Linked DNA regions of Arabidopsis thaliana. The protein of the gene in region 2 purifies or fractionates together with the protein of the main gene of each other region. This does not show direct contact. Each region holds a gene or a part of one and is shown on either strand. Other genes may lie near its edges.

Region 1 (7,450 bases), 3.2 Mb from region 2:
AAATGATCATAAAACTGCTTAGGCATTCTATTTAAGCATTGAACATAAGAGGAAAACTTAATACTCAGTTGCATATGATGTGGGAAATATGTGGTGCTTTCACAGAAAGCTGCTTGGAAGTCTATTATTTAGGTTACTTAAAACAGCTTTATTCTTAGCGTGGGTTGTATTCTGCAGGATGCTAAAGATGATGCATACTATCACCTCTCATTCCAGTGAGAATCGCATGACTTCATCTGCTGTTGCTGCATGCATGTCCCCATTGCTCTTACGTCCTCTATTGGCTGGAGAATGTGATCTAGAAGGTTTTGACACTCTAGGAGATAACTCTGCCCAGCTTCTTGCTGCCGCCAATGCTGCCAATAATGCTCAAGCCATTGTCACAGCCCTTTTGGAAGACTATGGGAATATGATCAATGTAAGATTCCATTTGCCCCGTTAATTTATATCTGGTGCCACAATGCTATTTGCTCACCTATTTGTTTGCAGGATGAAGGTCTTGGGAGATGCTCCACTTCTACTGATTCTCATATTGGCGACAGTGGGCCTGAGAACTCAAGTGATGAAGAGGAAATAGTGGTTAAACATCCTGACTTGCATACTCTGGATATAGAAGAAGGGGAAACAGATGATGATAATGATGTTCTGCTAAGCAGAAAACCAAGCGAGAGCAGTGATTATGCTGGCAGTGATCTGTATGACTACAAGGTTTGTTCTTTGCCATCTTACTCCACTGCCCCATAAATCTTGGTCATAGTACACCTACATTCAGAATTCTAAAATAGGGGATAAGTTTGAACTTTGAAGTCGTTTCCATTTGTATGCATTCCGTCAACCATCTGCTACTGTCTTGCTATCTTTCGTTACGCCTAATGTGGTCTTTAGTTATGTTTGGTGTTTGAAATTTAGGTTTCCATTGCGAAACTGCCAGAAAAATTTATCCTAATTTATTCTTTTTTTTTAATATGCTTTTTCTTTCAGGGTTTTGGTGTTGAAGATTCAGATGCTGAGTCTCCTAGAGATATCCATTGTTCAGTCGAGAGTACAGACTTTTCCGCTAGAGTGAAAAAACATATTGAAGAACCTATTAAAGATATAGAAGTTTCTAGCGTTTCACCTACTGAAAACTGTTATCAATCAGGGAGAGAGGCTATACCCTCAGTTACTCCCAGTACTCCTCTCACGGCCCTTAGATACACAACATCAGCTGAGAAACCTGCAAGTAAAACTACTGGCTCATCAACAGTAAATTCGAAGCGTTCTTCGTCCTGGGGAAGAGGCAACGTAAGTTTTCCATTGTCTGGCATGAAAAGTCGAATTCTGTTGTCCTAGTCTCTGGAGCTGACTTGCTATGCATTTATTAAGTATTTATAGGATTTTTTTTTGTAATTTTTGTCTGTCCTTGTAACTCTTTGATCACCACTAGACGAAATTAGTTCTCCTGATCTCTATCGTTGTCAGGTCATGATATGAATTTCCCTTCAGTTTTCTTAATGCCATGCTTATTGGTGCTATAGGCTAGATGAGCTGTTTCCACTTGCATAATCCTATAAGAAAACTAACCATCAGCGTCTTAGGAAAATTAGATGTTACTGGAAGTCCCATCTATTTGGAATAAATTATCTTAGTACAAGTTAGTTGCATGTATGATGAAGTAAATAGTTGTAGGGAAATTGAGTTTAAGGTGATATCTCAATTCTTTTCTTTGTTTACTGTGTGCAGGGCAAGAAAACACCTGCTAAAGGATCATTTGATTCCTCAGGAAATGACGAGTAAGATAACTCATCCTGAATGTATACATTGTGGTTCTTTAACACTCCTATGAAACCTTTTTATATATATTCTATTGGCGAAACCCATATGAGATATTATGTATGGTTAAATAGGTTAAATAGGTCAAAAAGGTATTTACTGAAGCAACATTCTATTTCGCTTTTGAATTGAGAAAATAATTTTTTCTTTGTTCTAAAATGAGCTTGATGTATCCTGATGCAATGCGTTTGCTACTTGTAGGCTTCTTATACAGAGGCTCGAGCACATGAAAGATGAACTGCGACAACGAATCGCTAAGGAGGTACTTGTTCTTGCACTAGAAGTATTATGTGCTGATACCATAATGTTGTTGTATTGATTGATTAGACCACTACAGGCTAAAGGAAATGCGGCTCTACAAGCTAGCTTGGAGAGAAGGAAGCAGGCTTTGCACGAACGACGGTTGGCACTTGAACAAGATGTATAAACCTTCTCTTGAGATTTTACGTTTCTATCCTCTATTTTTTTTGGGGTATAATTTTGAGGGGAAATAAACTTCCATTTTGCTGACCAAGCTTGCCATGAAATTGTCAGGTGGGTAGATTACAAGAGCAACTGCAAGCTGAGAGAGACCTACGATCTGCTCTTGAAGTTGGTCTAAGCATTTCTTGTGGACAATTTAGCTCACAAGCTGCGGATTCCAAAGTCAGTATACACTTTAGCTAGAGAAAGCAGTTTTTTTTTTTTGGTTCTATCTCTTGCTTTCCTTAGTTCTAACATCACAATATAATGCAAAGACAAGGGCAGAGCTTGAGGAGATTGCTCTTGCTGAAGCTGATGTCGCAAGGTTGAAGCAGAAAGTCGCCGAATTACATCATCAGCTAAGTCAGCAGCGACAGCATCACTTAAGTTCACTCCCAGATGCTCAAAGCCATCACCAGTTTCTCCATAATCACAATACTCAACTGTGAGTTTACACTCGATGCCTGGTTCTAGCTCTTATTCAATAGTTCAAACGAGATATTACTCGAATGTAAACTCGCTAAGAGAAATAACAATCTATTTTTTTTCAAATTCGCAGGAAGTCTTTTCAACAGGACTTTGATTCCATTCTTGCTTTCGTTAATCACGAAAGAAATCAGAGAACGGTACAAATCTTATTATGTAACCGAGGAATCTCTATTATCTTATAAAAAATGATTCTATTATCTGTCAGTAACATTCTCTGCTATCGAATAATCTAGGATGAAACTAGCCTAAGAGCAGACTGGAGGAATGGCAGAGGAAACAACAGACAAGTACCAGGCTCACCAAGCTTGAATGCAGCATCCTTAGGCATCCCAATGGAAGAGTATTCTCCGGTTAGTGATAGTCTTGTTTAAACCAATCTCACGAGATTCAAATGTGTAAAAAGTGTGAGTAAACGGTCTTGTAGGTAATGGACTACGGAAGACATCATCATCCTCCTGCAACATCTGCAGCTCTCATGGAGCTAACCACTCGTCTGGATTTCTTCAAGGAACGACGGTCACAACTTATGGAACAGATTCAGAATCTTGACCTCAACTATGGTTCCTCTTCTTCTTCTCTGCACCGATCCTCTTCTCCACCATGGAATTAGGCTCTTTGAGAAGCTCTTGTCCAAAAAAATAGAAAAATGTAAAGAAAGTCTCGTCTGTGCAGACTCTTCATGCTTGTAAAACCGGTTCAAGGTTAAACCAACTATATATTTACCACGAAATTGATGAGAAATTGTTTGCTCTTGCTTCGTTGTTAGTGTGATTTATGTGAGTGAGGTTTGTAAAAAGTTGTGTGTATTTCCTCTGTTTTTGTTTCTACATTTTAAATGGTTGGCCGACATATAAATTCAGTTTATTGAAAAGAAGAAGTAAAAAAAGATTCTCTAGTTAGTGCTACAATGAGTCATAACCTTTTATTATTCCGGAAGAATTATTCTTGAAGGGAAAGAAAAAAACGCGCTTTAATCTCTATATATAACAATAACACTTTGGGTTTTAGACTTTAGATACGAATCAAAAACATTTGAGATAAAAATCAGAAAAGTAAAGAGACGAAAATGGCGGATCAACAAGCAGGAACAATCGTCGGAGGAGTTCGCGATATTGATGCAAATGCTAATGATCTTCAAGTCGAGAGTCTCGCTCGTTTCGCTGTCGATGAGCATAACAAGAACGAGGTACCATTCTCCCATCTTTTCCTGCCTTCATTATCCTAAAATCTGTTTGGTTGATGATCGAAGTTTATCTCTTAGCAAATCGCTGATTTTTCTCGTTCGATCTATCGAAATATAGGTCATTCTCATCAGGAATTGTTATTTTTTGTTTGAGAATTTAGGGATTGTGTCATTTGCTTCTGTACTAGTGTTGATTTGAAGATTTTGTTTCCAGAATGTTTATAAGAACAATTACTACCTGAGAAACATATATCCTCTTGTGTTGTTTAAATAAAGATTATAATAAGCGATGAGTTTTTTTCTTTCTTGTTTAAGCAATGATCTCTCTTATGTATACAGAACTTGACTCTGGAGTACAAGAGGCTCCTTGGTGCGAAAACACAGGTTGTGGCAGGAACAATGCACCATCTAACTGTGGAGGTGGCTGATGGTGAGACCAATAAGGTCTATGAGGCCAAGGTTTTGGAGAAAGCTTGGGAGAATCTCAAGCAGTTGGAGAGTTTCAACCACCTTCACGATGTTTAATCCGATGCCCTGAGCTTTCTCTGCGGTAAACACATCACATTCTTGTATGATACTCGGGTTGACACATAATTTGCGTTTGCTAATAGATGTCTTGTGTCTTTGGTTTCCTTTACTTTACAGGCTTGAGTGAGGTCCTTGTGTGCTCTCAGACCACGTGATAAGAGTTCTGGTTTAACCAAGTTAACTTCTTTAATAAGTGAAATCCAGTCCCATGTGTTTGAACTGGTATTGTGTGTATCTCTTGACTCTCGTTTGTGTATTGCTATTAGCAAACTCTCACTTTTTATCTATCTGCTTTGATTTTACAAAACTTCATGATGAAGATACAAACCATGAGTAAAAGCTAAAGGTGATGAGTATCTCTATCCCATTTCAAAATCATCTTGAAAACATCAGATGTTCACCTTGGTAGTTCAGGTATATCTCATAGTATCAGAAAATTGATTCAAGATGTAAACTTAGGTAAATTTGGATCATTGTCGGGTTTTGAAATGATATCGGTCTGTGTCGTTGAAAGTTTACAGTCAGTTGATCTGGTCATCTCCATCATCCTGTCTTTCTGCGGCAAACTCTACTCATGCTTGGTTCATGTTGCTAGGCTAGTAGGCTTCCTGCATCCAACTGGTCTCTTTTTACTCAATATTTAGGCTGAGAGTGTTGTCTTCCGCACCCTTCCACCATGAGTACCACCATAATTTGATAAGCCAAACACCAACTTTAGAGAGTGTCTGAGTATTCAAAGTCTGATTTGTTTGATCTTGTAATACCTAAAGAAGAGTTGTGCTTTTAGACAAATGGGAAGACTAATAGTCCAAAGGAATAATCTTATAAGATGAGCACCAAGCGGCACATGGGATGACTTGACGATCAAAGACAGTTCTACTCGTCTCAAAGCAATCATGGGGCTCAACCACATGTCTTCCAGACAAATAGATTTAAAGTGTCTTGTTCTTTGCTGCTTTTTTAACGACAAAACAAAAAGTAGAATACGAGTCTTGGAAAGAATGCCCTTTCTGTGTGTTTTATCTACAGTAACACATCAGCGAAATGCTTTGATGAACAATGCGATATTATTCTTATGAACTGTGTGGTTGGATACATCTGGATTCTGTTTCTCAGTAGTCAGCTCTCAGTTCTTAGTTAGCTGTCGCTGGATTTGTTTGTTAGGCTCAACAGTACTCCGGTACTGAGAGAAAGTGCAACGACACCAAGTGATGCCTCTGTTGATATGTGGAAGCCTAGAAAGAGGAAGAAATGTTGAGAGAGCTTAGTTTTTCTTGTAGATATATGGTTTAGTTCAAGCAGAAATTGCCGATGAAGAGAGAATATCTATACCAAAGAAATCAAGGATCATCTTGACTCCTATGAAGCCAAGAACAACTGCTATTGATGGCTGGGAAAGGCAAAGACAAGATTAGATACAAATCATACTAGTCCATGGGTACATAATGAGCATTACTGGCACTCTTAAGTATGTATCTGATGCTTAGCTCGAGTATGAAGTAATGAAACAGAATATGAATGAAGATTTAAAGAAGTGGTAAAGGTACCTGCAAGTATTCCAGCTCGTCCATTCCTTCAGAAATCAGTGTATAGAGAGACCTTAGTCCTGCGGCAAATTCAAACACCAGATGAAATAAATAAACTCTTCAATTCAAAGTTCCAAGAGTATTCAAAAGAGACAGGCAAGAAGTTAACAAAAATTGTGTTTAGGGAAAAAATACCTAGGATTGCAAAGAGATTAGAAGTCAAGACAATAAAAGGATCCCTTGTGACGCCAAAAACAGCTGGTATTGAGTCAACCTAAGAAAATGGGCAACCAGTATCAGTGATTTGCTTCATTTCTAAAGAGACAAAAACAGATTCACAAAGTGGTGACGGAAGTTACCGCAAATGCTATGTCACTGAGCTCGATCACTGCTACTGTAAGTAGCAATGGTGTGGCCTGCCCAAAATATTGTTGAAATAATTAGAAGTAATCAAAGGTACTATCATGAATGTTTTGATCATGGAGTCCACATGCAATAAAACTTAACAGTGACTTATACATAAACCTTGAATATATAGGAGGAATTTTGTCATATACTTACTTTCAAAATGCCATCATGCTTTGTGAAAAATCGATTTCCATCGTAACTTGCTGCAAGCAGTTATAAACAAAAGAAAAGAGGAATAAATCAGCTATGGAAGCATACCAAACAGTAAAAAGGAGAAAAAGACCGGGTATATTACATGTGACAGGAATAAATCTCTGGCATGTCTTTACAATGAAGTTGTCCGATAGATCTGTATCATCTTCTTCACTTGCAAATAACTGTATTAACACATTGAGGACAGAAAAACTAATACCATATCAATAATTGTGTGTGATTATAGGTATAAATGCTAAGATGAGGTAGTATGCACCTTGAATGACGAATATAAGAGTACAGCAGCAAGCAGTAGGTTGACTGCTTCAAATTTCTGAAAGAAAGTAGAGAGAATTCAAAAGTAAATGAGGCAGAAAAATGAAACAAATAATCACTAACAAATATTTTGATGTAAACATAGAAATCACCTGAAGAGTAGCTGTTCCTAGTAAAATGAGCGTGAAACGGAAAACAATTGCACCAGCTATACCGTAGGTAAGTACCTTATTCTATAGAAAGGGACACAGAATCAGAATACTCTGTAGTCAAGAGCTAAATCTCTGTGGCTCTGTGAAGATAGTTTTGGTACCTGATACATGAGTGGCACTTTGAAATACTTGAAAACAAGAACAAAAACAAACAAGTTGTCCACTGACAAGCTTTGCTCCAATATGTAGCTGCAAGAGTTGAAAACAGTTAAGATAGGAAATATCTCCTTGAAGAGTTAAGTGAAAATCAATATATCATATATAGTAAGCTCTACACACCCTGCGAAAAACTCTGAAGCCTTGCCAACACCTTCCTTCAAACCTATTCCAATTCCAAATGCCACCGCAGTGCCAACCTATTG
Region 2 (7,561 bases):
CATTCACTGTTTGAGAGAGTACACATAAGGCATCATGGAGTGATCTTTCAGCCTCATCTAGGACATGGTGACTGCAAGAAAAAAGAACCCATACAAAAATTGATTAGTGAATTAGAAACAGAATAAAGTTTAGACGAAGTCTTTCAAGTAATGGGAGTGAAAATGGATACCTGGCCCCTCTTAGGACAATTGAACAAGCCTGGCCCATTTCACAACCAGAGAAATGAATCAACTTGTCTTCACCAATCATGATTTCTTCTATAAGCTTGCAATGCCCAAGCTTAACAGACTCTGGGTTGTCAAAGGTCGAAGCAATTTCACCACCAGTAACCAAACCAAGACGCTCTATTCCCTCAAAGTCAGCATGCTCAATAGCAAGTATACCAGCATCAGCAAAGAGTTCCTCAGGGAAATTGTAGATCAACTGCCTGTTAACAAAGCAGTTGATTCCGTGGCCTATGATCTTCTTCACCTTGTCTTTCATTTTTTCCTTCTCAGCCCCTTCAATCTCAGCAACCTTGGTCATGGAATCCACACGGACACGTGCACCGTAAATCTTCACTTTATCGGTATCCATAGCAGTATTAGCTACTAAGATATTTGCATTCTCTATGCGCTTAGGCTGCCCAATTCCTATTTTCTTGTCAAGAATAAACCTACAGGCATAGATTTTAAGTTGAGGTGACATGAGACCATATTACTCGATAGAAGAAGAAACACAACACAACAAGATGACATGATGACTATCAACATTCCAAAATAACACTATAAATGAAATTAAGGTGCGTAAGCTATGAAGAAGAAAAGAAACACGACAGAGTTACCATGAACAGATGAATACTAAAGAAAGATCAATAGCTCAGAAAACTGAATTTGAACTGACGCCAAAGGCACAAAGTGTTGTCTTACCCTTCATCCAAAAACGAATCCTTCAGAGACCCTCCAGGTTTTTTGATGATCTGAATAGCTTCCAAGTTTGTGCTTCCCTGTTGAACGATAAAAGCAGAATGTCAGAAAAAAATCATATAACAATCCAAAACGAAACGATGCAACTATGGGAAAGACTAATGGTGAAATGATAATAGCCTAATTTCATGACATTTCGTCAAAGGAAGATCTTCTTTCATGAGATAACACATAAATCAAGAGAAAAAGAAGGAAGGAACACATGACATTGCTGAATCAGTTTCAAAAGGAGGAAGAAATGGAACCTTTAGCCTGAAAACAGCATCCACGGCCATTTCTGCAAAATGTTCCTTGTCCTGTGAGAGAATTTTGGAACATAAAGTAGTCATCGCAATCTTCAACAAGTCTGACCTAAACTTCTCTGCATTGACAAAAATACAATGCTGTAAAATAACAGTGTGATTTCCGTTCTGTATTCAACTGAAAGGAAATCACCGCTTGAACCCAACAGTCGAAGTAATCACACAAACAAGAAAATGCTATACTTAAATATGTCAGCATAACAAGGTTTAACCATCTCTATAATGATTACCTGCATTGTCCTTGTTATCAATGACTCTTTTCAGTAAAGCATTACGAGCACATTCCGAAGCCATTCTGTAACCTAAGAAACCAGAAAACGAAAAAATTAGAAATCATTGCCATAGTGAGAGAAGCTGATACAAAGTTGACATCTTAACACTTAAAGCTCCAAAAGTGTACCTGCTATGATGGTCATAGGGTGAATCTTAGAAGCCACAAGCTTTTCTGCTTCCCTCAGAAGCTCGCCGGCCAAGACAACAACAGAGGTAGTTCCATCACCAACCTCATCATCTTGAACTTTCGAGATGTCTGAAGAACAAACCAGATACAACGAACTGTGAGAGAAAACCCAACTAAGAAAAAACGAATGTGAAAACTTCATGCCAGAATGTCGCAGGGAAATTACATACCAACAAGAACTTTAGCTGCAGGGTTGTCTATGTGAAGTGACTTGAGAATAGTAGCACCATCGTTAGTAACAGTGACCGCATGACCTCTACCAGTAGATTGCAAGATTTTATCCTAAACAATAATAAAAAGGATTCAACAATAATCAATAGAACCAAATTGAAAGTTTGTAGCTTTCTAAATATTCAGAGATCGGAAATTACCATGCCCTTTGGCCCTAAAGTAGACTTAACCAGATCACTGATAGCCATTGCACCAACAAATGATGCCTAAAAGAGCAACAACAAAAGAAAAGAAAATCAGATTTAAACAGTAGAAGAGTGAATCTGAAAAACCCTAAATCCTAATCGATTCAAAAGACTCACCATCCTCGCACGTTCTCCCTTCTCTTCACTAGCATCATCTTTGAAGATCTTATCGATCTAAATACGAAATAGCTAAGTTCAGTTAACGGAGAGCACTGGGGAAAAGCAAAAGGATTGAAAGAGACGACGGAGGAACATTACCGGCATCGGGAAGAGCGGAAAAAGAAGAAGGAGGCTTCTTCAGTATCGGAGATATCCAAGTTAGTCGAATCTGAGACTAGCGAGAAACAATAGATGGGATCGTTCACGAAGAACGAACAAGCCGAGAGGATCTCGAAATATTGAGTGTGCTTTTGAAGAAGAGTAGAAAATGAGAGGAGAGAGCCAAAACCCAGATCTTTCGGAACCCTAAATGAAACTCGTAAAGACCAAACTACCCTCGTATTTCCCAGATTTCTTATGCGCCCTTCAGTAAAAACTAAAAAGTTTAGATTAACCCTTAACCAAAAAGTTATAAGTTACATTAAGAAGTAAATTTTATAGTTTCGACAATTTTGCATTTTGTTTGATTATATAGAGGAAAAAAAAAAATGTTCCATATACAAATTTGAATTTGGTGATGATTTAGCGGTCGAATACAAAAACAGAAATAAATTAATTCGTGATTTGTATGCGAATATTGTTACTAAAAAAAACTATAAATGTAAAGAGGCTTATAAAATAGAAAGAGAAACATTATAAATGTAAGCAGTCAAGGTCCATTTTAGAAGTCATTTTAAGACGACTAAGCCCAACAGTACTTTAAGAGCCCAATGAATCAAGGTCCAGCAAACTCAATTAGTTTAACGTCTCAGCCACTTATAAATTATACACGTTTGGAGTTCCGGATAACCGAAATGAGAAAGCATGTCCCACATAGAAGGCCAACGACACCGTATCATATTCGAGCACGTTTCTAATTACCCTCTTGTTGTCTTTTACTGTCGTAGCACCAAAAGTCAAACAATAAAAATCAATATCTATCGCCAGGTGTCAAATTACAGGAGCTTCTGAGAAGGATAAATCTCGGAGGTTCCCGGTCTGAACGACGTAGAGACGAAGCGAAACAAAAGTACTCTAAGGGAGAGAAGTATCAAAATTCTCATCGGAAAAAGACAGATCTACAAATTTTGAGAGACAAGCCATGACTAAGGTGAAAGATGAGCCACGCGCTTCCGTTGAAGGTGGATGTGGTGTTGCCGACGGTGACGGCGGCGCGGCTGAGATCGGCGGTACCGGATCTGTTGAGAAATCGATTAACGAAGTTAGGTATGAGCTGTGTTTACTGTTGATTTCACATGTTTTTATCTGTTTCTCTCTTTGCTTTGAGTTTAGTACTTAAAATTGTATCTTGTTTCTGATAAGGAAGATCAGCATTTCGATCTGGTTACTTTAGTTTCTATTTAGGGAAAGTCATATTTCTCAATGGAACCAATTTGTTTTTTGGCTGGAACAATTGGATTCTTAACAAACTTGTGTTTTTCAAAGTCCTTTAATGCATACATAAGTTTTCATGTGAATTTGATTAATAGAACTTCACCGTTAACATGTGAAATTGGAGAGACTGGATTCATATGTGGAGAGTTTTCTTAATGTTGCATCAATAAGTCCATCTTTATAGTGTCGGTCACAAGTTTAATAGATCTTCTGCTATTGAAGGTCCACGGAGATTCAAACCGCTGAGCCAACGGTTCCTCCAAATCAACTTACTATTTTCTTTGGTGGAAGTGTTACTGTGTTTGATGGACTTCCATCAGAAAAGGTTGGTCCATTAGAGCTTTGTTGTTGTCAGAAAAACTTCAGAATTTCTGTTCTCACTGTGATCTATGCCTATAGGTTCAAGAAATCCTTCGTATTGCTGCTAAAGCAATGGAGACAAAGAATTCTACAAGCATCAGTCCTGTCTCATCGCCAGCACTGAACAGAGCTCCTTCTTTCTCAAGCACATCTAATGTGGCATCACCAGCTGCACAGCCATTTCCTATTCAGCCAATCTCGTTTTGCAGATCCACGGCTGGTAAGTATTCGATTCAACTGGTTATAGTAATCTTCAAACCTTGAAAATGGATACTCTCATTAGTTTCTTACAATTATGTTTGCCGTAACAGATCTACCTATTGCAAGGAGGCATTCGCTTCAACGATTCCTCGAGAAAAGACGGGACAGGTATGCAGCCTTTAAAATTACACTTCATCCTTCTCCATTTCAATGGAAATTCAAATCTGATCTATTTTATTCAGTTTTTGATTGATTACTAATACAGAGCTTGTTAATGTACCTGTGAGAGACTTGTAAAGACAGATTGATCATAATGTTTAACCTTGATATTGCATCTAACAATAACATTCACTTTTTTTTATCTGCAGATTGGTCAACAAAAACCCTTACCCTACTTCAGACTTCAAAAAGACAGATGTCCCAACAGGCAATGTCTCTATCAAGGAGGAATTTCCAACTGCTTAGCAGAAGATCAAACCTCCACATTAAGCTTATAAGCAAACTAAGTAAAACGTTTTGTCAATATAGTAATTAATATGATAATCTATCATGTACGCTGCTGTGTGTAATGTGTTGTATGATAGTGTCTGTATAGGTTTGCTAGACAAACCGAAGATTGTTTCCATGTCTGGGAGTGGTCAGATATGTTTGCCATTTTACAATTCTACTGAAGAAACTATTGTAGTTAGTAACACTGTCCTAGAGTCTATCTAACTAATGACTCTTTGATGTTATGTTATTGAACTTGTCATCTCTTCAAGATACAATTGTGTGTAAAGTAAAGAAGTCTGTGTTGTTATTATAAGCTTTCATACAAAAGACATTGAATCTATATGTAAAATGGGATTTATAATTGTGAATGATGAACAACAATTCGGAGATGTTTCAAGGAAAGACAATGGGAGTGTGCCATAACTGATTGAAATTTAAACGTACATATATTCACCTCCGCGGACAGCATTCTCTGCGCCCTTCCTCTCTTCTTCGGCCTCTTTCTCTCTCTCTTTCCAGTTTTCGTATTTCTGATCGTCTGTTGGTAATTCATGGCGGCATATAGGGCAAGAGTTATGCTCGTCCTGCCATAAAACAATATGAGCATAAGCTTTATGTTCTTACTTACTAGTAAGCTTGAAAGAATGGGATTTTTTTTTTTATACCAGCCAAGGCTTTAGGCAAGGAGGGTGAAATGTGTGCTTGCATGGCAATTCCTGCATCTTGTCGCCAATAACTAGATTCTCCTTGCAGATGCAACATTCTGCCTCTGCTCCAAACTTTTTAAGCAATTCCTCGGTGAAAATAATGACTGGGAGTTTCTCTACAACTTCTTTACTTGCCGGTGGAGCTCTTGGTGGTCCACCATCATCTAGTATCTGCATAGAACACATCATATATCACTTTTCAATCATGAAGCTAAGAAAAAGACGCTACCAATACAATATTAGAGGTTGAGGTTAAACACTCTTGATACAGATGAGTGAGACAACCAAGTGGAGAAACTCAATATGCAAAAAACAACATATGAGTAGAATGCGGATGATTAAGAATTGCTTTCATCTCTATCTTTAGGTGAAGAAACTTGTGATATCAGCTATGTGTGATAGTACATAATCTAAAACTAGTAAGGAAGAAAAGAGAAGGCATTACATCTGGAATGATCATGTCAAGACCATTGATAAGTTCTTGCATCAAGTTAGCAGTTTCCCCAATAGTGTTTTCAGTAGGACCATTAGAGGATTCACCACCAACGATAGAAGCGAAAGCAGACATGAGATTCTGCTGTACTAGCCACTGAGGCTGTGGCGGCTCACGATCAACCGTAAGATGTCCCTCAAAAAGATAACCTGCAAAAAATTCACAAGAGAAATAAAAATCATCTCCAGATAAATTTCACTTAAAACCATCAAAAGCCAAACTAAATGTTTCACAAACCTTGTGAGCTCTCTGTTGGCTGATTATCTACTTCGCTTAACTGCTCCTTAGCTTGAGCAACGCAAGATTTCAAATGTTTCTTCTCAGAAGCATCAGAGACAAGTCGCTCAGCCTCTTCGAAAAGACTCAGTCCAGCAACCCAAAATCCAGTAGCTGTATATCTTGTCTTAAGAACCGTAGCGACACGAGATACAACTATATAGAACTGCAATGGCAATCAAATCAATACTATGTCACAGAGGGTAACTAAACAAAAACAGATCGGATTAAATGAAATTTTTGACATGAACATGAACTTTCTCCACAATTGAAATAGAAAAACAATAAAAGAAAGATATTTGATTCCTGATTCAATCCTCAAAAGTTAAACCCATCATCAGACATAAGCAATGAGTAAACGTCAAGGCAGGCATAAACCCTAACAATTCCGAATAATTTTGAATCTATTGATCCGAAAATCTAAGAATAAAAACCAACCTGTTTGCGGAGAGAAGGAGAGGAAGAAGAGTAGTGATCACGGAGAAGATTATGAATAGAACAAACGGATGCTTCGAATCTCAGCTTTTTGTTCAGCTGTTTCTGAAGATCATCAAGCTCAAGCTTCAAGCTTTCCTCGGAAGGAGACGGTGAAGACGATGCATCCATTCAGAAATTTATTTCTTAGAGTTAAGGAGAATACTCAGGGGTTTCGAATGATTTTGGGGATTTTGTAAGAATGATGCAAAAGAAGAACCAATCTCTTGTCTTCTGGGATTTTTGTAGGAGACGAGTTTTCTTGATCAGGAGGAAAGGACGAAGTCGGTCGGTTAATATAGTTCAGTTCGGTTTGGTTCGGTTCAAGACCAAAAGAACAATTGTTAATTACCAATTGTTCGGTTTGGTTTGAGACCAATTTTTTGTTGGTAAATACTAAATCGTATGCGGCTATATTAGACCAAACCGTATACATTATTTGTTTTTTGTAGTATGATTGTAACTGTAGATAAACATAGTGTATATTGGACTTTCTGAGCCTTCCACGCTTTAATTTGAGATGTTGAACGCAATGCCTGTGGACGTTAATATCATTAGTCTATTAATTTTGAACTAAGAATAATCTTAACACAAAAAAGAAGTCCATGGATTTACTAAATCAACCTTCAAGGTGACCACATGAACCTGACAGAGTAAAAGGTTTTGATCCTATCCCATTTTAAAAGTCAAGTCATAATCATATTCCAAAACAAAATAAAAAAAACAAGACAAGTATTTCTTCAACTCATAAACTCATACAGAAGCAGTAGAATAGCTCCAAACTCCATACCAAGGTCACTTCACCTTCTAATTTCTCAAGTCTTCCTGCGACTAACACGAGCAACAAACCCTGTTTTGATCGGAGCCACAGATCGTTGAGA

What was found.
Region 1: the proteins of JAZ12 (region 2) and CYS1 purify together in Arabidopsis thaliana (affinity purification with mass spectrometry, with the first as the bait; one study listed by BioGRID). This does not show direct contact.

Annotation. Positions count from the first base shown.
Region 1 is NC_003076.8:3,920,316-3,927,765, reverse strand, and holds CYS1 (cystatin-1), read left to right. Parts: upstream 1-3,707; 5' UTR 3,708-3,829; coding exon 3,830-3,949; intron 3,950-4,285; coding exon 4,286-4,471; 3' UTR 4,472-4,496; intron 4,497-4,591; 3' UTR 4,592-5,175; downstream 5,176-7,450. Other genes in the region: AT5G12150 (Rho GTPase activation protein (RhoGAP) with PH domain-containing protein), read left to right, coding at 178-418, 490-708, 982-1,284, 1,723-1,772, 2,014-2,074, 2,150-2,233, 2,347-2,457, 2,550-2,719 and 3 more; PDE149 (integral membrane TerC family protein), read right to left, coding at 5,612-5,709, 5,807-5,864, 6,022-6,080, 6,196-6,274, 6,360-6,416, 6,562-6,611, 6,704-6,785, 6,878-6,934 and 3 more.
Region 2 is NC_003076.8:7,087,499-7,095,059, forward strand, and holds JAZ12 (jasmonate-zim-domain protein 12), read left to right. Parts: upstream 1-3,205; 5' UTR 3,206-3,384; coding exon 3,385-3,509; intron 3,510-3,899; coding exon 3,900-4,002; intron 4,003-4,076; coding exon 4,077-4,257; intron 4,258-4,348; coding exon 4,349-4,406; intron 4,407-4,416; exon of another isoform or gene 4,417-4,606; coding exon 4,607-4,703; 3' UTR 4,704-5,041; downstream 5,042-7,561. Other genes in the region: AT5G20890 (TCP-1/cpn60 chaperonin family protein), read right to left, coding at 1-71, 171-656, 910-986, 1,212-1,327, 1,499-1,570, 1,669-1,797, 1,899-2,010, 2,100-2,165 and 2 more; AIP2 (RING/U-box superfamily protein), read right to left, coding at 5,165-5,314, 5,396-5,608, 5,883-6,079, 6,168-6,372, 6,645-6,812; EIF2 BETA (eukaryotic translation initiation factor 2 beta subunit), read right to left, coding at 7,496-7,561. UniProt on the Arabidopsis thaliana protein: Repressor of jasmonate responses.